Linked DNA regions of Notamacropus eugenii. The protein of the gene in region 1 purifies or fractionates together with the protein of each later gene. This does not show direct contact. Links are inferred from orthologs where the notes say so. Each region holds a gene or a part of one and is shown on either strand. Other genes may lie near its edges.

The links.
Region 2: the proteins of ASIC1 (region 1) and PICK1 purify together in Homo sapiens (affinity purification with western blotting; 3 studies listed by BioGRID and IntAct, with this or other methods). This does not show direct contact. The link is inferred for Notamacropus eugenii from reciprocal best matches to the Homo sapiens genes ASIC1 and PICK1.

What each region holds. Positions count from the first base shown.
Region 1 is NC_092874.1:222,182,258-222,194,825, forward strand, and holds the start of ASIC1 (acid-sensing ion channel 1), read left to right. Parts: upstream 1-7,670; 5' UTR 7,671-7,767; coding exon 7,768-8,415; intron 8,416-12,384; coding exon 12,385-12,535; intron 12,536-12,568. UniProt on the Homo sapiens protein: Forms voltage-independent, pH-gated trimeric sodium channels that act as postsynaptic excitatory receptors in the nervous system, playing a crucial role in regulating synaptic plasticity, learning, and memory.
Region 2 is NC_092874.1:295,539,640-295,552,413, reverse strand, and holds the start of PICK1 (PRKCA-binding protein), read right to left. Parts: upstream 6,927-12,774; 5' UTR 6,912-6,926; coding exon 6,486-6,911; intron 4,915-6,485; coding exon 4,826-4,914; intron 1,342-4,825; coding exon 1,230-1,341; intron 1-1,229. UniProt on the Homo sapiens protein: Probable adapter protein that bind to and organize the subcellular localization of a variety of membrane proteins containing some PDZ recognition sequence.

The DNA.
Region 1 (12,568 bases):
GCCTGGGTGATCAGTTGCCAGGGCAACAGGGTCTGTGCTCCTGCCTCCCAGGCTACCCTTACCCTGGGTGAGGGGCTTGGGCCTTGGGCAGAAAAGGGGCACGGAATGAGGGAAGGGGTCTTTTGGAGCAGCAGCTGCATGCTGATGCTGGAGGGAGGGGGTGTGGCAGGGGGAGCAGGAGCAGCTGCAGCCAGGGCCTCAGTGCCCAGCTGCACCTTATTTGTCCCTGGCACTGGGAGAAGCTGATGTGGATAGAATGCTGAACAACGAAGGAATGGAGGGGGGGGGCATCATAAATAAGTGCCCAGTTTGTACGGATGCCCTTCCCTTCCCCCCAGCTTCCACCCCCATCTACTGAAGCTGGGTTCAGAAACCTTTCACCAGAGGTATGGCAGGAGAGGAATAGGGACCCTTAATCTGGACCCTTGGACCAGAAAGGGACTGGCAGAAGGACAGAGAAGTAATTGTGAGGGAGAAGAGGTAGGGCAGGAAAAAAAAAAAAGATAAAGCATTCAGGCCAGTGAAGAATGAGGTGGGATAGCATAGCTCAGGGTTGGCTAAGGTTTAATGTAGTACTATGACCTATGGGGCAATCCCCACCCTTACCCCCACCATCTTTTATTATTAATTCCCCTTCCCTACACACCCCCACACCGACTGTGGAGGACCTTGCCCCAATCTTTCCCAATGCCCACTTCAAGAGCTCAAGCTGGGCATGTCTCAGGGTCTGGCCTTCAGTGGGGAATGCCTGACCTATGGGGCTCATGGCAGGGATCTGTTGCCCTCCAGTAGAACTGGACTGGGTGGAGGGAGACAGAGGAGAAGAAACAGAATTCCAAGCAGCTGCAGGACAGAAAAGCAAGTCCCTATCCAGAGCCCGGGCTGCAGATGAGGAGGAAGAATGCATGTGGCCATATTCATACATGCCTGCGGGTCAATCGGAGCAGTGGAACTTGCACCCCAGCTCCCCACAGAGACTGCCAGGAGAGCCTGAACTTCCCTGTCTGGAAAGGACAAGGGATCTGCCTTCGGGATCCTGAGCTATCCCTCACTGATGGGGGAGGAGGGAAGGTTTGGGGCCGAGGAGCAGTATTAGTGAGAAACAAGGAGATCCTGAGGACAGGATATTTTCCCCTTCTCTTTCTAGTTTCCGACTTCCCAGGCTGCAGTCAGCTAAGCGGCTGCTCTAAGCTAATTGATCGCCAGACTGTTGGCTAAAGTAATAGGGAATTGATATAAGTAACTAAGTGCCTCTGGGGGCAGAAGCCAGGAAACAGTTAGGGGGAGGAGCAGCTGTGGGACTTCAACCTCTCTTGCTGTCCTAGCCTGGATCCAGGGTTATTTATCCTTGAAGGACATGACTTATATGTTCAAACCTAAAGCTATGGACTAAGGATTTAGAGGGGTAAAAAGGGACAAAGCCTAATGGAGTGCCCAGGGATTTTCTACGTGTGGGTAGGGATCGCTACTAAGGCTCCTGAAATGACTCTCCTGAAAACACTCTCAATGTCTGTGACTCTGGGAGAGGAGAATTGAATGCTAAACATTAGACATAGAGATGGAGAAAACAGAGCTAAGGACCAAGTCCGTTCCAAGGGAAAGGATCTAAATCTTGAGAATGGGGATAGGTCTAAGTGGAGGGACCAAGGTGAAATAGCAGGAATGGCATCTGAATCTTGGGAATGAGAGGCTCAAACACCGAGTGATGTCAAGGTGCTTCATTTCACTTACCTCTCATTTTGCTCTATCACAATTCATCTCTTCAGTAAACCTCTATGGTATAGAATTCTTAGGACCCCTGAGCTCCCTGTACTCCTCCCTTTTTTCTCCCTAATATGAGCTGAGAATGGAATATATATGTATACATAAGTGTATGGTGTGTGTATATATATATATATATACACACATATGTGTGTATTACACATATGTGTATATGGTATGTGTGTGTGTATAAATTGAGGAAATGAGTCGTACTTCTTAAACCATTCCCTAGAAAGTAGTCTTAAACAAAGAAAAGGGAATCTGGGGAGTAACTTGTAGGATGGTGTGACTATGATAAGCCCTATTCATATGCTGGTGGTTTTTCAAGGGGACTCTTTCTTTGAGACTTAAACGCTTAAAAGGCATGATAACCAATCTATATATACATCTATATATATGTATACAAATACACCCATCTACATACATGCACATGTACATACATACACACACATATAAATAAAACAAATAGATCAAATGAGATAATATTTGTAAAACATTTAGAACAGTGCCTGGTGCAATGTGGTTATCTCTCTCCTGACTCTGGAGATTTTCCAGTTCCTTTGGGCCAGGACTCTCCCAGAAGTTGCCCTAAGCAATTGATAAGGTTGGGGAAAGTAATTTTAACACACATTGAATTCGGGGATGAGTAGAGAATGAAGCTGGGTGTTAGAATTCCTGGGTTCTATTCTCTGCTGCTAACTTCTCCCCCTCTGCTTTTCATGTCTTATCTCCCTCCTCTGTTCTCCAGTATTTCTTGCTCTGATCCCACCTACTTCCTAGCTGGATTCCTCTTGCGATATTCATTGCCAAGGTATAGCACCTTGCTCAGCTGCTGGAGCCACTGGCAGAAGGGAGAGGAGCCAGTAAGGAACACTCATCATTTTGTGCAGGGTGTGTGTCTATGCACATCTGGGCATCTCTGTAAAAAAAATGTGGGATGTAAATGTTGTGTTTAAATTCATGTCTTATGGCTAAGCCCTTCTACCCACTACTTGGCTCTTTTTCCCATATCGCAGATTCCCACTAAGTCTTCCAGTGCCTTATCATGGCAGGGAGGTGACCCTGGGTCTTTCAGAACCATGCCCACAGAACAGAAGGCCTGGCAGAGGATTCCAAGCTAGAAAGTCTGAGTATAGGCCTGGAAGACTATCATCGGAAGACCATCCTAGCTAAGTTCTAGGAGGTACATCAGTAGAAAGTCAGTCATCACCAAGTCCTGAAAATATATACCAAACTACATTCCATCTTTATCATTCTATAACATGCCAAAAATTGCCATGCCTTTTAAGCATTAAAGTCTCAAAGAAGGGTCTCCTTGAAAAACTACCAGGGTGTGAATAGGGCTCATCATTGTCACACCATTCCACAAGCTGCTCCCCAGATCCTCTTTGCTTTGTTTAAGGCTACTCTCTAGGGAATGGGTTAAGAAGTCTGACTCATTTCCTCAAGATCCATCAAGGCCTTTAAATGTAAATGTTTTCCAAACCATTGGTGTGTCCTTTCTGGGATGAGAAGGGAGCCTTGTAGCCAGAGAAATGTGGTACTTGATGAGGAACCATGCACCTATTCATATGACCTTAATATATTTTGACTGCCAAGGTATCAGATTTGGAAGCAATCTTGCCAAGTTAACAGTCATGTTGCTACTATCTGTAGCATCATCTGACCAGCACAGGGTTTTGTACAACTTTTTGATAATGACCAGGATGTGTGGATACACGTGTGCCCAATTCGAGGAGGGACTATGTGTATGCATGAACCTCTGCATGTATGACAAGGAAAGCTTGTGAGGGTGTATATAACTAGAGGAGAGTATATGAGTATACATAATTAGGGGAGAGTAAATGTGTGTGTCTGTGTGTGTCATTGGAAATATGTGTGTGTGTGTGTGTGTGTGTATACCTCTGTGCATAAAGAAGTATCATAGAATCTATAGCTGGAAGGGACCTTAGAGGCCCTAGTTCAACCATTTACTTTACAGACGGAAAATTGAGGTTCAGAGAGGTTAAATAACTTGCCTGATGTTACACAGGTTTATAAATGGTAGAAATGGAATTTGAACTGAGGTTTATTTGGATGAAATCTATGTCCCTATAGCGTCCATCCATTACAACATACCTCCATTCACAAATGTACACATAAACAATCTTTCAGTTATCTTTTCTGTCTCCGAAAGTGTGACTCCTTCTTCAGCACCATGCACAAAACTCTTTCTCTGTGTGTAATAATAGTAGCAGTAGAAATATGTATATGCATACTTCTATGTGTATAAATAAGTGTATGTACGTTTAAAGCAACTACACATTTGCATGTAACTTAGAGAATGTGCGACAAAGCATATGTAACTTGGTATGCTTGTGTGTGTGATTGTGAAGTTGTATGCAAGATTGCAGCTTAACGAAAGGAAGAATGTCCTAATGTAGGTATCTGATAACTTAGGTATCTGAAAATAGAATTAGGGTTGTGATTTCTCCAGTAGAAATCAGTAAGGGCTGAAAGACCCCTCTTCAGGAATTTTGTAAGGGAAATTAGTACATGGCACAGAATATTAAAGTAAAATGACCCTTAAATTCCCTTCTAATCCCAATTCTGTTGTATGGAAGCAGTTCCTGTAAAGAGAACTGCTTCACTTTAGACACTTCAAACATAGACTGCACTATTATAACTGTGTGTGATTGTAGGGGGTCTTGAGAAGGTGAAGAGCTCCTCTTTGTAACTGTGAGAAAGCAAGCATACGTCCATGGACTAATGTGTGTCAGTGGATACATATCCTGGACCCAGATCTTGCCTATATTTGATGCTTCAAAAACAGATAGATGGAAAGAAACAGATATTCAAAGGCAGGCAGCTCTGGAGAGAGAAGCTCTGGGTGGAGAGTCACATAGGGTGGCAAGACTCCCAGGCTTGGGAAGGGGATGGCAAGGAGTCTGTGATAAAGAGCATTATTAAAGTTCAATGTGTGTATTCGAGATTGCTTCTCTCTGCATGTACTATCAGTGTGTCTTTGTGTGTGCTCTGTGCATGGGTTTGTGGACATGTATTTGAGTGAGTGTGTGCAGCTGTCCCTTCATCAGTTGCTCATCCATCCAACCCCATGGTCCAACCTCAGAAGCCTGTATCACTGAAAAGCTAGGGGAAGATGAGAATTGCTGGTGAGCCCTGAAAAGTTCAAAGTTGTCGAGCCACAGAAGGTCAGAGCCACCCCTGGCAGAAGGAGATGGGGGTGGGTCTGGGAGGAAGGAATCCATTATAGGATGGAGAGGGCTACAAGAGAAAAAAGGGAGAAAAGGCAAAAATCAGGGTGGATGGTGGTAAAGGTTGCCTGATGGGTTCAATATTTCTATACTCTGTGTTCTCTGTGTGTGTGTGCTCTGTGAGTCTCTGCACACAGATGTTGGAGGGATGCAGGAAGAAGGCTATGTGTCTCTGGTTGGAAAAGAAAGATTGCCATGTACAGGGTGGAGTAAAAGTAAGAAGAAAGACAATGCCTGCATGCCCAAATGCAAGAGCATTTATTTTTAGTGATGTTTATGAAGATGTGTGTGTATATGTGTGTATACGTTTGTGTGTGTGTGTGTGTGTGTGTGTGTGTGTATACAAGAATCCAGCTTTCCCTCCTCCCCGGTATATGTATATTTACTTAACCCTGACTCATAACAATAAAATCCCAATGCCAAATTCCCCAAACTTCACTCTGTGTACCCAGTAGGTAGGAGTGAGTGGGGTGGGGCACAGTGCCCTCTCGTGACCACAGAGGACATAAGCATTTGCCCCCAGCTCTAGCTGGGTATTGGACTTTTGGTATGCACAGCACCAGAATCAGGAGTCTGGGAGACAAAAGGCAAAAGACTATATGGCTGCCCTCAAGGAGTTTATAGTCTAGCTGAGAAATCATCATACGCCCTGAAAATGACTAGAGAATCTCTGTACCATTCATCAATTGTATAATTCATAAATATGTTTGGCAAGAACCAGAATCCCTCAGTGGTGATGGTTTATAGAATATCTGAATGGGGTCTCTCTTCCCCCAGTAACTTCTTTCTCACTGTTTCTTTTTGTTTCTACTTCTGTAGCTCTTTGTACTTTTTGAGGTCTGCGATTCTCCATGTTTCTGTCTGTAGCTCCTTGTACATATCTTTCTAATTCTGTCTCCATGTGCCAATTTCTCTGTTTCTTTTGGCCTTTCTGTGTATCTCTCCACATCTCTGCATTTCTTGCTGCATCTCTGCTTTGATATTTTTGTTTTCTCCTGCATTATGTCCCCCCTTCTCAACAAAGAAACTAACTCTAAGAGGCTCACTTTGTCTATGATAGAACCCAGGCGTCCTGGATTCTAGCCACCATCCAGCACAGAGAATCCCTAGGAGTTTGGCTCCTATCCCTCCCAACCTCCCTAGCTTCCCTTCAACATCCTGGCAAAACTCTGAATGCAGCTGGAAGAAATAAAGGGTTACAAAGGAGAAGCAGAGGGAAGGAAAAAGCCTGTATTGGAGCTATGGTTTAAGCAACAGGACTACTCCTCAGGCAGAACAGACCTGGGGTGGGGGAGAGGATTCTTCTAGCATCTGCCTGTTCTCAGCTTGACACAGCAAAACAAGAGTTAACTCTATTTGTCTTTCTCTCCGCCCCTACCCCTCCATCACTGTCCCAGCAAAGGAGACTAGGTTGGGCAGCTCAAGTTCTTCCCCACTGGGCTGAAGTAATCAGAGTCCCCCGAGGGACTGGGGGACCAGGAAGTCTATGAGAGCTGATTGGACCTAAGAGCCCCCCCAGAAGGGGAGAGCTGGATATGTTGGCCTAGGGGCCTGAGAGAAGGAATGCTTGAAGGACTAAAGACACAAGAGAATGAGAAAAGGGCTAAAGGATGGGACAGGAAGCCAGCAAACATGAGCCCTGAGTAGAACTCAGCCTTCAGTCTCAAATCACCCAGCCTGACCTTGGCCCCACAGTTTAGGATAAGATTTCTAGAACTGATGTCTGAAAGACAGTAGGAGAGTGACAGTGGGGGAGGGGGTTGGGAGGTGTTGAGGGGGAGAAGATGGTGCAGGCAAAGAGGTGGAAGAGCAGCCAGGAAGCTTTTTAGGTGATTGAGGGGGTTCTACCCCCACCTCCACCCACCATAATGCCGGGAAATATCTAGCTACAAATGAGTCTGTGGTCACTGAAAGACTTGTGCTAATGGATCTTTGGGCTGCCCTAAAAGCCACAGAGGGAAAGGGAAAGCGGGGGAAGGGGGGGAGGCATCAGTTGGATTTATTGTAGGATGGATGAGGAGAGGAGTAAGAGTCCAATAGAAGGGACTAGAAAAATAGGAGGGGAGTTATAGGGAGAGGTTAGTTAAGTGCTGTGATTTAGAAAGAACTGGAGACCATAGGCTCAGAGGACGGACTAGGTCAGGATGAGATCCAGAAAATGATTATTATGGGTTTGGAGAGTGATTTAAATCAGAACCTGGGGTGTAGGTATTTGTGGGGGGGAGGGGAAGGGGAAGAGGGATTTGCTGAGTCAGTTACTGTGGCTAGATCAAAGATACAAGTGATTATTGGACCAGGACCCTCTGTATTTCATGGGGGAGGTAGAAACAAGGAGCACTGGTCATTCGTTTAAGCAATTGGAATCCTCCAGGATTCTTTGTCTGTGCGGGTGGGTGGATGGGAGTTGTGAGTGGCCTTCTCATAGCCAGTTCCTCATCCCTTAGCTGAAGGTGGTAGGCTCCACTCCTCACTACCTCCCTCTTCTTATAGGCCATCAATTATTCAGCAGCATAGATGACTGAACGGCTCTGCCTCTTCCCCGGCTCCGCCCCCAAGTTCCCTCCCTCTTCTCCCTCTATGTTTCTCACTAAGGGCTCAGGCACAGACAGCTGGACTGCTTGGAGGCACGACTGGCTGGCATTGCCCCTAGTCCAGGCCTGGGCATCTTACCCACTTTTCTTCTTGCTCCTCCCCTTTCCTCTTTCCATCCTTTCAGTCCCGGGGACATCATCCCTCCCTTGATCTCCCCAAGATGCCCATCCAAATTTTCTGTTCTCTGTCCTTCTCCTCGGGTGAGGACCCGGGGACTATAAGAGACAGCTGGGGCTCCAACCAACAGCAGAAAGAGGGATCTGAATCTGAGTCAGAAGAGGAGGAAGAGGAAGAGGAGAAAGAGGCAAAGGAGGAAGAGGAAGACTTAGCTATGGACTTGGTGGCCTTTGCCAACAGTTGTACCCTCCATGGTGCCAGCCATGTTTTTGTGTCAGGAGGCTTAGGGCCACGCCAGGCGTTATGGGCTGCGGCCTTTGCCCTGGCACTGGGCACCTTTTTGTACCAGGTAGGAGATCGGGTGACCTATTACCGAAGCTACCCACATGTGACATTGCTGGATGAGGTTTCCACTTCTGAGCTGGCCTTTCCAGCAGTTACCTTTTGCAACACCAATGCTGTGCGGTTATCCCAGCTCAGCTATCCTGACCTGCTCTACCTGGCCCCACTGCTCGGGCTGGAGGATGGGGAAGACCCTGGTGTGCCCCTTGCTCCACCAGGCCCTGATGCCTTCTCTGGGGAGCCGTTCAACTTGCACCGTTTCTACAATCGCTCCTGCCACCGGCTGGAGGACATGCTGCTCTACTGCTCCTATCGAGGGGGCCCCTGTGGCCCCCACAACTTTTCTGTGGTGAGTCAGGGTCATCCCCCTTCATCCCCAACAACCCAGAGAGCATGGGGCCTGCCTTCCCATTACCTCCAGGGGCATGAGCATCATCCCAATGGCTTCTACTCCAAGTGGCATCTGATCTGTGTCCTACGAAATTCCCCTCCACAATGCCCTTCCCCTAAGAGAGGGGTTGGTTCCTGTAAAAAGACCTTTGCAAGCTTTACCCTTGCCTCCAGTCCATCTCTAGATGATAGATCTGTTTCAGGGCCTTTGGGACAGGGCTTGAAAGTGGGAATCTGAGAAGGGAAAGAAAGAAAGAAAGAAAGAGAGGATTTGAGGTTAGGATCCTCTGAGGTTTGGTCCATATCCAGGAATCTGGTGGACAGAGGGACAAAAGAGAAGAGGAATCAGGAGCTTCTGCCAGGGTCTATTACAAGGTAGAGGTGGGGAGAGGGAGTGGGCAGACAATTAATTGCTTCCCTCTTTCATGGCATCAAGACCAGAGACAAAGGCTTCCTGGGCATTAATGGCCCATACAGAGATATATTCTTCTCTAGTGCTTTTCTAAAGTTCTGTCTTCTATCCCCGCCATGTTGTGTGTGTGTGTGTGTGTGTGTGTATGTGTGTGTGTGTGTTTGTGTGTGTATGTATTACTGCATCTCACAAGGTCAAGACTATATGTGACCAGTAATGGGATATGATCTTCCCATGGCTGGCTTCCCTCCATCTTCAACTATTCTGAATCCTTGGGGAAAGGGTTGCTAGTACTAGGTACTGGGAATCATTCGGGTTCCTGGGGTTCCACTCTCAGAAGGAATCCCAGCCCCAATCTTGCTTAAGAGTTCCAGAGTCTGTACAGTTGGTGTGGTCAGAGGTCACCATGACACCTGTCCTCTCTCCAAGACACCAATTATTTGACTTCTCAAAACATTTTCTGTTCCCTTTCTCTAAAGTCTAGGTTCTAAATCTTGGCAGGAGAAATAGGGGGATGGACAGACTATGTCTCATCAGAAAGAATGGAGACCTGGTAGAAGTATAGCCATTGTGCTCCCAAGCCCATAAGAATAAACAAAAGATCCTACAGAAATAGATACATCAGGAGTAGAGAAGAGAGGATTTAGGGAGAAGGGTTATGTCAGTGCCCAGGGATAAGCTGGCACTTCTCATCTGGAACCACCAGGTGGCAATAGTATCTCATAGCATGATGGGCTAAAATTCATTCCCCCTTTTCCCCACCCCCCACCCTCACTTAGTCCCTTTATTTCCCCAACTAGTGATAGATATTGAATCTTTTGCTTCCTGAAAATCCTCCATAGGACACGTTAGATATTCAAATACTGAATAAACAAATTAATGAAAAATTAGTAAATGAGACACTTTTACCAGAATCATAAAATAATAAAAAGGAAAACATTCTTAGAAATCACCTAATTCTTATTTTTTATTTTAAAAATTATTAATGCCTTTTGTCTTCATATCAGATTTTTTCTCATTGCTCTTTCTGGAATGAATGCTCCCTTGTCACAAAGGAAAACAATTAAGCAGAAATATAGAATACAGATACTGTCTGGTACAGAGACTGTATACAATATTCTGTCCTGGTAGTCCTGTCCATTGTAAGGAAGGAGGTATGTTTCATTATCTCTTCTCTGGGAACTTTGCTGGTTTTCCACTACTGAGAGTTCAACTTCTTTTTAGCAATCTTTACATGATTATAGTTGTTATATACATTAATCTCTTGGTTCTGTTGTTTTTTTTTTGTTTTGTTTTGTTTTTTACTACTTCAGTCCATATAGATCTCCACATTTCTCTGACTTCTTCATAGTTGTCACAGGAACATTATTTTACATACATATGCCATGGTTTTTTTTCAGGCATTTCCCGATTGATGGACAACTCCTTTGTTGCTACCACAAAGAATGCTCATATGAATGTTTTGGTATATACGGGACCTTAATTTCTATCTTTGACTTCCTTGCCCTTTTCCTGTCCCTCTCCAGTTCTGTAGATGAAGAAATTGGAGCCTAGGGAGGAGAAGTGTCATATTCAAGGTCACACAAGTAAATGACAGAACTAAGAGTTGAACCCAGGTCTTTTGACCCCAAATCTGTTGCTTTCTCTAGGATACCACAATACCTTAGCAATACCTAATGATCTTCCTGACGGAGGGGTCTGACTCTATTCAAGAAGACTTCAGATTACTACCACACTCCTCTGGGTCTGGTTGGCAAGTCATTGGGCTTTGATTTGGGATTAAGACAGAAGAATTTAAGAGTCTCAGATCCTATGGTTATGCTAGCTGGACTTAATCCACAAAATGAGGGAAAAGAGTATTTTTCCTGGTTGTGGGGAAGGTCAGCAGGTGTGTCCTAAGGATCTCTAGATTCTGGGACCCTGGACTCTTCTGAGGGTGGGGATTAGGAATCAGCAAAGAAATGGTGTTTTTCTTCCTCATTTCTGACTCTACCATACTCATTTCTCTTTTTCTCCTAAGCTCTCTCTTTACGTGGGGTTTTTAATTTGAGGTCTATGAACTTTAAATAAAAATGTAATTTGGTGGCAGTTTTTTAAAGTATTAATTGGTTTCTTTTGTAATCCTGTGTATTTTGTTTTATGCATTTAAAAACATTATTCTGAGGAGTCCATAGGCTTCACTCAGTTGGCAAAGTAGCAGATCATACACACACACACACTTTAATTACCCTTGAGTTATAGTAATTTTATAATATTCTTTGGGACTCTACACTATTCAAGGGTAACAGTACCCTGGTTATAACCACACACCCTTAGATTGTGGAAAACTGTTATTCTTAATTAGTTCTGTGGGAACATTGGTTTAATAATTATGGACATTTATAAGGTGCTTAAAGTTTGTAAAATATTTTCCATATATTATCCCATTTGATCCTCACAACAACCTCGTGAGGTAAGTACTAGGGGTATTATTATCCCCCTTTTATAGATGAAGAAACTGGAACACAGGGAGATTGTGATTTGCCCATGGTCACATAGCTGGTAAATGTCAGAGGTAGGATTTGAACCAAGTTCATTAGAGCTCAAATCCAATGATACTCCATCCAGTACTCTATCCACCAGACCATGCTTCTTTTCTCCTAAGAGGATCCTGAGAAGATCAAAAGGCATGAGAAGTGGGGGCCATGGAATAAACACTATAGGTCAAGGGCCTTTCTGTCTGTGAGCAGAGAGTTCTTCCGGGCCCTCTGTGGAAATGACTTCTCAAGTGTTCCTTGGTTAGTGGTACTTAGTACCCCAGGAGGTAGCCAGGAAGGGCTGAGGTACCAGTTATCAAAAGGTATTCAGGTAAACCTAGCCCAAGCCCAGCATATTGATTTTGTTTCTGTCCTTACCTTTTTCTGTAATGAGAGAAGCATAAGGAACAAGGGGAGTTCCTCAGGAGAGATAGAGCATGGGATGGCTAAAGTGACCTTTCTCCACTTTGGGGTTCAAGGATTTGGGCCAAAGGCATTGATAGTCTTGGTTATCATTAGGTTGTGGCTGGCATATTGACACAGGATCTGGTGAGTGTGCTTACTGATTGGGCTCCTAGTGCCCAAGGGGCAGAAATGGGCATGACAGTATGGGGAGGGATTAGGTGATAAACTTGGTTTGTGCTATAACTGATAATGAGATAAATTGATTAAGGTTATGGGAGAGGAGAGGAACGTTGGTTATTGGCCAAGAGATACAGGGTGGTGGATCTATGGGGGAGGGACATGAAGGACTGGGACTTGAAGGGGGCCCTATTCCAGAGGGAATGGCACTGTCACATTGAGGGGCAGGGGATATTTTGTGCTGTGTGGCAGGAGGGTTTGGGATCTAGGTAGGCAGGCTAGTTCCAGAAGGATAAAATAGTTCTAGGGGTCAGGAGTCTGGGCAAATCAAGGGTAATTTGCCTTAGTACTGGGGGACAAGAAGGTTCTAGAGGGGAAGGGGCTCAGGCTCAGGTTTTGTCTCTCTGCCTCCCACCAGGTCTTTACACGCTATGGAAAATGCTACACATTCAACGCAGGCCAGGATGGGAGGCCACTGCTCAAGACTATGAAGGGTGGGACAGGCAACGGGCTAGAGATAATGCTGGACATCCAACAGGATGAGTACCTGCCAGTCTGGGGAGAGACGGGTATGGGCACTTAACTGCCACTGCCATCACTAC
Region 2 (12,774 bases), about 73 Mb from region 1:
AAAATCAGCCTTCTGGTCTCTGAGCTAAGTGTCCTCCCTCCATTTCTGCAACTGCTTCTCCAATATGCGTGACTCTGAATTCTGTCCCCGTCCCTTCATCACTCTCTTCTAGACTCAGTGTCCTTCCTAAAATCTTGTCATTTCATGGCTTTGCCTTGTGAGCCATCATGCTTCTGTGTGTAGGCCATCTGGCTTCACACCATCTGCTTTCCTTTTCCCCTTTCACTCCTTCCACGCCCCCATTACCACTTTCTACCTCTGCCTCTGAGAACAGCTACCGAGTCAGCAGCACAACCAATTCTCTCTGATTCCCCCCAGCAAGTGAGTTCCTTCCCCAAGGGCATAGCCTGTTTTGCTTAGAGCACCTGGCACAGGATATGGCAAATGCTAAGGGCTGAGTAAATGTCTTTTCATTCATTCATTCCTACCATATGACCAAGTCCAAGGCCAATGGGACCACATCCACACTCCTGCTGGGCTTATGTACAATCTAATAATAAATCGACTTTGGGGACAGAGCCTTCACACTACTGCGGCTTGTAAGCAGCTCACAGTACAGCAAGGCTGCCCAGTTCTGGCAATGCAAAGTTGACTTTTGGATCCTGGGGGTACAGTCCCCATCTGAGCTGACCACATGTCACATGGTTTGATCCAGCCAATTGCTGCAGGCCTGTGACAGCTTTGGGGCCACTGGCTGTGACACCAAGATTCCCAGAGTTGGATAGCCCCCCACCCTTTCACAATATCCCTGGTCATCCAGCCCCTCCCTTCTTCTAGGCATTCGGCTTTTGCCATCTATGAGTCTGACCAGACTATGACTGGTCATCTATGACTTCACCCAAACCACTGATTCACAATGCTGCCCACCACAGCCCTCAAGGAGAAGCTATCTGCCAGCACAGGGCCTTGGTGAGGAGGTGAGCAAGGGGAGTGGCTAGGGGTGGCCCACTGAAGATCTGCCTCTACTCCTGGTACAACTCCAAGTCTGTGGGTCCCAAGGGTAACTTCATACGTGGATGTGGCATCATTTCCTATCTCAGTCCCTACAAAATGCTTGAGGGGATTGGGAATGTCAGGCAGAAAAAAATGTCCTGACCAGTCAAGAATCATTCCTAAGATCGAATAAATCCTCCCCCTCAGAGTTGCTCAAGGTTGAAGAAGGTAACCTGCCCCTCCTTGTAGGGGACCCCAAGAAACCTCCCTGTCTCCCTGCTTCCAAGCCCCCCTACCTGGACAATGTAGAGGCAGGGGCAGTACAAAGCCCCTCCCCCAATGCTGATCCCGATCAGGTTCTGTGAATCCTTCTGCAGTGTCACGGTCCCAGGAACTGTAGGGATGCCACTAGAGTACAGGAAAGGAGAGGGCAATAAAGGCAGGAAGGAGCCAGAACACAAAGGGTAGGGGAGAATCTGCCAAAGTCCCAGGCCACCACCTCCTATGGCCCAAGGCTCTCCCTCCTACCCCCCAACACCCAACAGCAAAGGAACATTCTCTATTCTAAGTCAGATTCTAGACGCCCCTTCTGTGAAGTCTTCTGATATGTACCCTCACGTCTCTGAGGCTGGGGTCATGGAACTGACAACAGGTGAGGCACAGATTCAATTAGCCCCATTTTAGAGATGAAAACGTAGAGGTCGGGAGAGGGACAATAGTCCATGTGTGCCAATGAGGGACAGCGGGAACTCGGGGCTGTTCCCTTGCCCTGCGTGCTGGCATCCACTGAACCAGCAGTTAATCGAGGGCTCCTCATGGAGCTCCAAGAGCTTGTCCAGCCTAGGCCCCCTCATCCTCAGACAGCTGACTGGTGGTAGAGTAAGTCTCCTAGCTCAGAGCCCTTTCCCATCCGCCATAGGACCAACAGTAAAACAACAACATGTCACTGGCTACAAGACAAAAGCAAACGCCAGTCAGTACAGTACAATGGAATAAGCCCTGGGCTAGGGAGGCAAGAGATCCTGCTTCAAGTTTTCCCTCCAACACTTCCCAGGTGGCCTTGGGCCAATTCCTTGTTTCTGAACCCCAGAGGTAATGGAGGTAATAATGAAGGTAATGGAGGTAATAACCCTTGTACCACCCACCTCAAAAAGTTGCTGTGAGCAAAAGACTTTGTAAATCTTAACACCCTATAGCAATGCGAGATGTCATTACGATTCATCTTTGTGCTCTCTGACCCACCAAGCCCCGAGTAAGTGCTGAGTAAATGCTTGATGAGGGCTGGCCAACTATCAATCGATCAATCAATCACCAAGCATTTGTGAGGTGTCTACCCTGTGCCAGGCCCTGTGCCCACCTCTGGGGATACACATACCAAGAATGAAATGGGCCCGACCTCACAAAGCCTGCATGCTCACAGGGGAAACAACAAGGGTCTTCATCACTGCAGACACAAGGTAATGAAGTACAAGGATGGGCACAGGCAGCTGGCAGGGGCTGCTTCTTGCAGGGAGGGGAAGGAGTAAGAGGCCAGTCTGGCCACCCAGCAGGTCTTAACCCACCATTCTACAAACCTGAAAGCCCTTGGGTCAGAGCAGGCCCTGAGCTAAAAGAGGGAGGACAGCCACATCCCTTCCCCAGATTAATAAATAAACACACTTTAGGTCTCTCAGATATACTGTGCTCTATACTTGGTAACCTTAAGGCTTCAAAGACAGTACCTGCCTCTGAGGAGCTCATTCTAGTTCAGGGGCTCAGACAAGATTTTGGGGATTGCTCCTATACCTCATGAAGGACTGGAATGTGTTAGGAATCCAAGATGTTGATGGGGGAGTCAAGGGAGGAGAGATGGGAGGGGAGGGGAGGAGAGGAGAGGATGGATGTTGAAATTGATGCCCTCCCCAGGAGGACTCCCTATGAATCTTGGGGATATAAGGTCTGGTTGGTGCCTAAAGTGCTATCCCCATCTTACAGATGAGGAAACTGAGGCTAGCAAAGGTTAAGTGACTTGCCTGGTGTCACAAACATATCTGAAGGAGGATTCAAACTCAGGTCCTCCCAATTCTAAGTCCAGCTGTCCAGGTAAGGTTTAAAAAATCAACAGGTAAGGATTCAGACTTGCCTGTGGATGGGGCTGGAGCCTCAGGCCTCACAGGTCCTGGGTTCTAGTCCTAGCTCCTACTAGGCACAAGGCCTAAAGGACACTGGGCAAGTCACAGAATTTCTCAGTAAAATGGAGAAATTGCTTTGTTCCCCTCACAGGACAGCTTTGGGAAATATTAAGACATTAACAATGCAAGTTATTACTAAGGAAGAAAAGCAAGTCTTAATCACTAAGGGTTTTGTAAGCACCTATTGTGTGCTGGGCTCTGAGCCCTCAGGAACCTTCCATTCTCTGGGGGAACAAGCAGTGCAGAGCTCAGCACAACCGCTCAGATCTTAGACCCCTCCCTTGTTCACTCCCACCCCTTACACAGGAAGGGGAAAGACCTCTGTGGCCCCCCAATCCCCTCACTGCACCCGCTGGGGGATACATGGAGAGGAAGCCTGGAGAGCTGGGATTTCAGTCACGGCCTGAAGGGGCTTCCAGTGATACCCTCAGAAACTGTATTTAAATGAATGTTAAATTTTTTTTACATGTAACTGGGAAATAGTTAACGAAATACATAAAATATATACTCTTAAAAAAGATTCAGAGTTAGCAAAGCCTTTGGAGATCATCTACCCCACTGATTTATGAAGGAGGAAGACCAGGCCCAGAGAAGGCACACTTGGGAGTAAGCAGCAGGGCAGGACCCCAGTCCAGGGCTTCAGACTCCAAATCCTGCACTAAGCCAAGCTGGTAAGGATGCAGTGAGGTCTCAGGGTGAAGGGTTTGGGACTTGGGGCCAGGAGGGCTTGATGGGGGGAGGTGGGAGATGTTGGGCAGGCAAGATGTGTAACTTCTCAGACTTGGTTTTCTCATCTGTAACATGGGAAAAGAAGGCAACAGGGTCAGAGTGAGGGGTCTGGATTTCCTAGCTCAAATCTGGCCTCAGACGCTAGCTATGTGACCTTGAACAAGTCACTTAATTTATTCACCTCAGTTTCTTCATCTGTCAAATGATCTGGAGAAGGCAGTGGCAAACTTCTCCAGTATCTTTGCCAAGAAGACCCCAAACAGAGTCACTGAAAACAACTGAACAGCAACACCGGGAGAGGGGCTCTCACTACTACCACCTCTGAGGCTTGAAAGGAAACCTATGTGGTGACTTAGAGCAGGACTAACAGGCTGTGTTGGCCTCCAGTGCCTGCCCGTCCCCTGATGTGACATCTGTTCCACACCTATGGCCACCCACAAGGAACACTAGGGCATCTGGGAGGATGGGGACAGAGCCAGGCTGGACTTGTTCTGGGGCTCTCTGGGGTCCAGGAAGAGACTTCAGTGGGGCCCTCACCTAAGCCACACCCAACAAGAGTAGCCTTGCAGCCTCTACTAGGAGACCTCCAAGGAGGGAGTCCCTACCTCACTGACAGCAGCCTGGCCTACTTCTGGACAAGTTGAATTGTTAGCCAGCTTTCCCTGACATTAACCCAAGGTGACTTCTTTCGATCTCTTTTCCCACTGCTGTTGGTGCTGCCCGGTGGTACCAAACAAGATCAGCCCAACACTTCCCCTGAATTGTGGCCGTCAGGCATGAAGAAAGCTTGCCTGGCTCCCGGGCCTTCTGGTCCCCAGGCTGCACGTGCCCAGATGTGCTACACCCCCTCCCCACCATTGTGGACACTTCCAGATTGTCAATGTTCTTCTCAGACACAGGTGCCCAGAACAGAAAACAATCCCCTCAGAATAAGGCGGGACCTTCCGTCACCTCTCAAACCCCATAAAAAAATGCTCTTTAGGGACACTCACAGCTTATCCTCCTCAATGTCATAATCCATGTCGGCAAACATGATTCCAAGGTTTGGGACAGGCTGGCCTCGAAGACTGATGGTCCAGTTCTGTAGGGAAAGGAGAACAAAAGTCTCAGAGAACTCAAGTGATGATGGAAGAAGGTCCTGAGGTCCCATCCCCCTTCTCTCCCCTGTACCTGCCATAGGTCCCAGCTCCTCACCCTCCCTGGAAGGCCAGATGAGGAACAAGGAATACTGAGATCTTCCCATGGCTTATACCTGGAGAAGGACGTCACAGTCCCCCTTCCCTTTCTGTCACATCTGGAGGTGTATGGTCTGCTCATGCCCCTTCCTTCCTATAGAACTTTAAGATGATTTCCAGGGGAGTCACTTTTAGTAACCAGAATCTAGCCCGAGCACCTTATTTTACCAATGAGTTCAGAAATGTTAAATGACTCGTTAAGCAGATGCAGGTAGTGAGCCGGTATATAAGTGTAGTAGTAAGCAAGCAAAGCTCTTACTAGGCCCCTACTACGTGCCTGACACCAGGCACTGAAACGTGCTGGATGTGGAAGGCCCTGATTTTAAATCTTTTCCATCTTGACTCTGTGATTTGCTTTCTACATGTTTTTCTTACTCAGAAACTTTTCTTGTTTCCAGGTTGTCCAGGCTCTTATGGAAATTTGTTGTAATAATAGTTATGTGGAAGTATTTTTAATCACTTCTGTTTTATAGATGAAGAACCAGAAGCTAAGACTTGGCCAGGATCACAAGGCCTTCAGAGTCACAGTGAGAATCTCAGGCTCTTACTAAACCTGGGGCAGGTCCTGGCAGTCTCCGCCTCCCATGGCAACAAAGGAGAGCCCCCATCCTTAGCCCCCGTCCCCTGCTCTATGGTCCCCGGAGCTCCCATGTCCTGATCAGGCTGCTGTCCCTGGCTCCCCTCAGCTCAGGGGCCAGGGAGAGACCCTCCCTTTCCAGGCCTGGAGCTAGAGAATGGTTTACAATACAAAGAACATTTATTAAACACCTATAGTATGCACGGCACCATGGTAGATTTTGGGGGAGAAACCAAGTTTCTGTAAATGGAAGAGATAAGCATTTATCCAGCACCTACGATGTGTACAGTGGAGGAAACTGGGGCAGAAGTTCAGACTGCCAGGGAGGCTGGATTTGACCTGGGTCAGGGATGCACCTACTTCCCCATCTCCTCCCAAACTGCCACACCCACCAGTCCAGTGCCAGGATGGGTGTGGGAAGGAGGTGGTCCCAGCATTTGTGGGGGGCGTCCTCCCCACACCCCTCACCGTCTAAGGACAGGAAAGTGGGTAGGGGGCGTTCTTGTGCCCTGCCCCCTTCCTAGACCCACCCAAACCTCCCACGGCCCCTCCCTTCTCAGTTCCAAACCTCCATGGCTAAGCCCCGCCCCTGTAAGTTTCTCCCCCTAGGGTTCCATAGCCCCCTCCTCCACTCTTTTTCAACCATTGGCCCCGCCCCTCGTTTAAGCCCCGCCCCCTCAATCCTCCCCCAGACCACAAGCCCCGCCCCCGCCTCCTAGCGTTCTAACGCCCCACAGGCCACTGCATGGACGCCCCGCCCCTTCGCTCTAAAGTCCCGCCCCGCCGTCTGGCCCCGCCCCCGTTCCCGTCAGCGCGCGGGGGCGGAGCCCCTTTTCTTACCACGTCGGGGATGATGAACTCGGACCTCTGCCTCCTTTTGCCAAACAGGAAGCTCACTGCCCCGGCCGCCCGCCCCCGGGGGCCTGTCCCCGGAAGCGGCGGCCGCCCCGGGGCCCGGGCCGGGTTCGGGCCGCGTCGGCAATTGGAGTCACCGGCCGCTCTACCTGCCCGAGGCCGCGACTGTTGCGTCACTTCCCGGGCGGGGCCGGAAGTCCCGTCCCTTTCGTTCCAACACTTCCTCCGCCTCCTGACCCTCTTATTTCCGGTTTCCTCTCGAGCTCCCCGAGCGCTTAAGGGAGCGGAAATGGGGGCGGGAATTCCACGTCGCCGTAGAGACCGGCTGAACGTGGCAGCGAATGATTGGGTCAGAGAGGCTTGGCGCCGCCCCCCGCCCTTGCACACAGTCCTCCGGACTACGGGCATCATTTCGCGTTCCCAAAGCTTTCCGTGGTTCGCTGCGGCCTCGTGCAGCCTGGGCCTCGTGCAGCCTCGGCGCCGGCCGTCACAGCCCCCGCCGGAGGGAGCGCGAGGTCACCGGGCGCGCCCCGCATTGTGCAGCCGCGGGGCAGAGGGGGCCGGGGCCCTTGGCGGGCGGGGGTGGCGCAGGGATGCGGGGACACCTTGGGCGGGCAGAGCCCCCTGCTGCCCCAGGTCCGCGATCCCCGCGGCGGGCCCGGAGCCAGGCCCGGGGGCCGCTCAGCGTCCTGGCGCCCCTGGTTTTGGCCTTAGTTGGCTTCGAATGTCCTGGAGGCCTCCCTGCCTTCCGAAGCCGCCCTTTCCCACCTGGGGCGCGGTCTCCTCGTGAGGGGCTCTCTGTGTGCACCCAGCCCGGGGGTGCGGAAGCGCTGAACACCTGGCAGTGCCTTGCACTCTGCCCAGTGCCCAGGCCACCTGACTCCGTCCCAGACCGCCGCTCCCTTGATTCCCTCTTGCCCCCCGCTGTCCACTTCTGGCCATTGTGGCAGATTTCAGGATTGTGACCGCCCGCTGTCGGGGTTCCGATAAACCTTGTCCTGGGCTGACAGCAGGCTTGGGTTGGTCGGAGCAGGGCCCGCGAGCCCCTGTTCAGGGTCCCAGAAAGCTGTGGAAACACAGAGGGGGTCTAGATGGGAATGAGGGACTGGTGGTCTAGGAAGGAGCTGGGTGCGGACAATGAAGGGGCAGCTGATTAACCGGGAAGGCCCGATGGCTTCAGGAGAAAGCCCGAGGCTTGGGCCTCGTGGGAACGTCCGGGGGCTTTTCCTTTTCGGGGTTCAGGTCCCATCCCCACAATTCCACCCTCCTAGAGCTTACGTTCTCTTGGCGTACTCAGCGTCTACTCTTAGCAACGTATAAAGTTAGGAACTAGTCCTGTCAGATGTAGAAACCAGTACAGCAACATGCATTTTTATTAAACGTTTCCCCGACTTAGATTTTAATCTGGAAGCTTCATTGGCAGCTCTGCAATGGGGAACTCCCAGGCGAAGAAACTCCCTCTACTGATGCAGGTGGCACCTCCTCCGAAACTTACAATCATAGAATTGAGTAGTTCAGTGAATTGGCCTCGTTGTGTTCGTTTTTGTTGCCGAAGAAGACCGTGCCATCAGAGAAATAATAACATGACTTGCACTTGACTTTGTTTTGAGTGAGGGAGGGCTGTGCAGGTCACCAGCCTCACTTCTCCAGAGCCATCTGAATCCAGGGACCAGATATTCATCAGGATGACTGGAGATGACCCAGGATGAGGCAATTGGGGTTAAGTGACTTGCCCAAGGTCACACAGCTAGTGAGTGTCAAGTGTCTGAGGTGAGATTTGAACTCAGGTCCTCCTGACTCCTGCAATGGTGCTCTATCCATTGCACCGCCTAGCTGCCCCCTCACTGTATGTCAGAAGGGAGCTGAATCCAATTCTTCCTGGCCTTGAGGCCAAGTCTCCATCCACTATGGCAGGATGTCAAGGTAGTTTTTACAGAGGAAAACACTTGGAGGTGGGGAAAGGGGGATCAGAAAAAGCCTCATTCTGAGCCCAGCCCTTGAACTGGAATTTGAAGGATTAATTAGAGGATTCTAAGATTTTAAGTGAGGAGAGAGTGCATTCCAGGCATGGGCTTCAGTCAGTGCAAAGACATGGAGACAGGAAATAAAAATTGAGTGAGGAAAAGCCAAAAAGTCCAGTTTGGCTACTCTACAGAATGCATTGGGCCAAGCAGATTGAGACCCTCTTCTATGGAGCGCCTTTATAGGTCCCATCTAAGTCTTTTTCCCAGTTCCTTCAGTTCATCCAAAAACAGCGTGAACTCCAGGCCCATCTTCCAGTCACCCTCCTCTGGATGCCCAAATATGGCACCTAGCACTGAGCACACTCAGCAAAGTACATCGAACTGTCACCTCTCTTGTTCTGGACACTGCCTCTCAATAACATCACATTAGCCTTCTTAGGTGCCATTTCCTACTACGCTGGTGTTCAGCTTGTGGTCCACTAAAAGCCCCATATCCTCTTCAGATAAACTGTTCTACAGCCACACCTCCCATGTTGTACTTAGGAAGCTGGATTTTTTAAGCACATGGAAGATTTCACCTTTACCCCTATTTATTGTTATTGCATTTGATTTGGCTCTATGTTCTATCTGGTCAAAGTCCTTTTGAATATGGCTAATCTATTGTGTTAATTATTTTAGTTTTGTGTAATCGGCAAATCTGATGTGTGCTATCTGTACCTTTATCCAAGTTATTAACTAAAAGAGTAAATGACAGGGCAGGGTCAAGCACTGGGAGACCTTCCAAGTTGACACTGAACCAGAATGGCAGCACTGGGGCCAGTTAACTAATTCCAAATTCATCCTTTCCAATTTGTCCAGAAGAATACTATGAGAGACTTATGATACGCTTTTCTAAAATAGGTGAACTACCTATTGCATCTCTTTCCTAGATTCAGGAGTCTAGTATCCCTGTCAAAAGAAGAAATAGAGTTAGGTTGGTATGACTCATTGGTGAAGCCATGCTGGCTCTTGGGGATTGCTGTTTCCATATCTAGACATTATTAATCATCTTTTTAATAATATAGCGTAGACTATTTCTAAAGGCCTTTTCAGGTCTGGTATTCTATGAAATAACTCACAGTTATAAACAAAATACTCAGCATGTATTACCTCATTTAATTTTCACAACTCTAAGGTAAACACTCATATTTTACAGCTCAGGAAACTGAGGCAAACAGAGGCTAAGTGACTAGCACACAGCTATTAAGTGTCTGAGGTCAAATTTGAATTGATCTTCTTGACTCTAAGGGGCAGTCTCCAGTGGTCCTGATCAATATCTTATCACTAGAACCAAATGATTCCAAGGGAGAAAGTGAGACTTATGACCTTGCACAGTCCCCTCTCACTTAAATCCAATTCGCTTGCAAGTCATGGCATCATCTTCCTCATGGACAAGCATCAGTCTTGACTCCTTAAGTCCAGCTTTCTTTCCACTGCGCCACGTAGCTGCCTATCCCATCAATCTATTCTTATTTAAACACAGCTTTTACTGTGAGATAAGATAAAAATGAAAACTAATAAATATAAAATTGGGCAAGTTAGTAAAAACATATAATTCATAATAAGGGATTTTAATTTTTGATTAATTATTGAGCTCTTCAGCTTCAGTATATTGAAAGAATACATAATTTCTTGAACCTTTGGTTTGAAAAAAAAAAATGAGCATTTGCCCTGATTCCCAATACAGTGTAAGAGACGAAAATTTGAAGGAAGAAACAATTCCAAACTTTTTATATAATAAAATAAATACTTGAAGGTAGGTCTCACTTCCCCCCCAAAATATGCCTTGTATAAAACCTCTATGACCTATTCAGCTTCCAGAACAGATTGTTTAATTTTCATTGTGAGCCTTTACGCCTCAGAAATCCACAAGCACAACAAATCAGTTTGAATTTATTGTTTTATTGACTGTCTGAACCTTAAAGTGGAGAAAGTGTTCATGCAGATTAGATTTAAAAGTGTGCCCTCCCTACAGTTTTTTTAAAAGAGCCTTGATTGTTACTCATTTACGAAAACACTCCCGCTTAAACTTAATGTTATACTTCAATGTATATCTGTTTGTTTCCCTTTCAAAGAGATCCGAGGTGATCTTTATTGAAGTTTCTGCAAATCTGAATGTCTGATCACCAATTCATAGTCAAGTCTAAATGGTGGAGTTGTCTGCTTTACCTGCTTTCTGAACAATGATCACCAGAGCTCTCTGGTCTGTCTTCCAGCCAATTCCCATCTTTCCTCTATATTTTAATGTAGTATCAAGTCACCAGATAAACTCAAGGTCTTGAGTTGCCTTTAAGCACCTGTACATTCGGCATGATACCAACCATATTCTGAATTGGTGGAATCTTGTCAAGGTTCTTTTTCAATGAAGGAATGCTTCCTTACTTCTAGTTGTAATAGAGAGGAACTACTTCCTTGGGCTTTTCCATTTCTTTTGTTCTAGTTTGGATTTCCCTTCAAAACTTCGTGAATTAATAATGTTTCTTTGAGATATAAACTGTTACCAAGGTTTGTTTTTTTGAGGGAGGGAAGGCTGTTCATTTGAGATTCTTATGTATCCATGAAAATATGCAAATATTCCTTTGTTTTCTCTTAAATGTTTGTTAGTAAACAGTACATTCACACATAAATTCGTGGTCTAATTTTGCTACACACAGGAAGAGAGCAAAATACTCATGGCACTCCTTTACAAGGATAGTGTGAGTCTTAAGTGAGATAGCAGATATAAAATGCTTTGCCAGTGTCAAAGCTGTACCCCACAAATGCCAGGTTTCTTTCTCCTCTTCCTGTTTAATTCTAAGTCCACTTATCAGGGTCAAATCAGCAGAGGTATACCATGTACCAGGCACTGTGCTAAGCTTTGAGGATACAAATAGAAGGAAAAGAAGGTTGATTGCTGCCCTCAAAACATTTCCATTGTAATGGGAGATGACATCACATAAAAAGGAGTGGACAAAAGGGGAAAGAGGAAGGTGCCAAAGTCTAGAGAATGAAGGATGGCTGCTTTAGGTGCTTCCTCCTGGTTGAGTGGTGCTTGAGCAGAGATGAGGGAGTGAGTGCTTTCCAGGTGTGAAGTAACAACCCGTACAAAGTCACAGAGGCTGAAGGTGGAGAAGCTTGTGGGAGGAATAAAGCCAGTGTGGTCCAACCATCCCTTCCTGTGCTTCAGCTACAATGTTATTGAGTCGTTTCCGTCGTGTCCAACTCTGTTATGATTCCATTTGGGGTTTTCTTGGCAGAGACTGCAGTGAGTTGTCACTTCCTTCTCCAGATCATTTTACAGATGAGGAAACTGAGGCAAACAGGGTGAAGGGACTTGCCCAAGGTCACACAGCTAGGAAGTATCTGAGGCCAGACTTGATGAGTCTTCTTGACTCTGTGCACTATGATGGCATCACTTGGTTGCAACTACCTGGATCGTGGAATTTAAACTGTACTTCCTGGTACGTGCTCGGAGCGAACATTCAAGAAATGTTTTTGTTTTTTAATATCTTAGGTATGAGGAACTCCCAATGAGGAAGCTCCCTCCACCAATGCAGGTAATGCACTTGCTCTACAACTTATCTTGGAGAGCTTCCTAGGTCCAAAGTTACAAAGCCAGTATGTGTCAGCATTCGAACCCAGGTCTTCCTGACTCTGAGACTGGCTCTCTAACCACTGGGCAGAACAGCCTCTCCTGATTAATTTGCTAATCTGATTAACTTATTAGATAGAATTGTCAGTGCTCTACCCTCTGCCTTTGAGGCCCCGCTGCTCCTGGGGCTCCCTCGGAGCCTGGGATGGCAAACCCAGTCTCAAAGATAGGACTGGCTGGTTCCCTTGGGGGGAGGTAAACAGGGGAACCCGGAAGCACCCTTGATTCCTGGGGAAATGCTGCCACCTTGTGGGCACTGGGGAAATGTCACAGCTGGGATTCCCTTCACCAGCACAAAGGGGTAATACTGGATCTGGTTAGCAATGGAGAGAACCACCTTCCCAGGCACCATGGACAGTCACCAAAGGGGTGACCTGCTTAGTGAAATGGGAGAGCCAATTAGTATCTGTGTGATGTTGCGGAAAGAGTCCTAGGTCTGACATCAGAGGACCCAGGTTCAAACCCTGTCTGATGCATCTACCCTGTGTGACCTTGGCAAGTCATTTCCCTCCCTAGGTCTCAGTTTCTTCCTTTGTAAAATGAGAGGCTTGGACTAGATGACTTCTGAAGTCCCTTCCTGCCCTTTTAGAACATGATCTTCTGATCTTCCCCACCAGGCCACCTCAGAAAAACAAGAAAA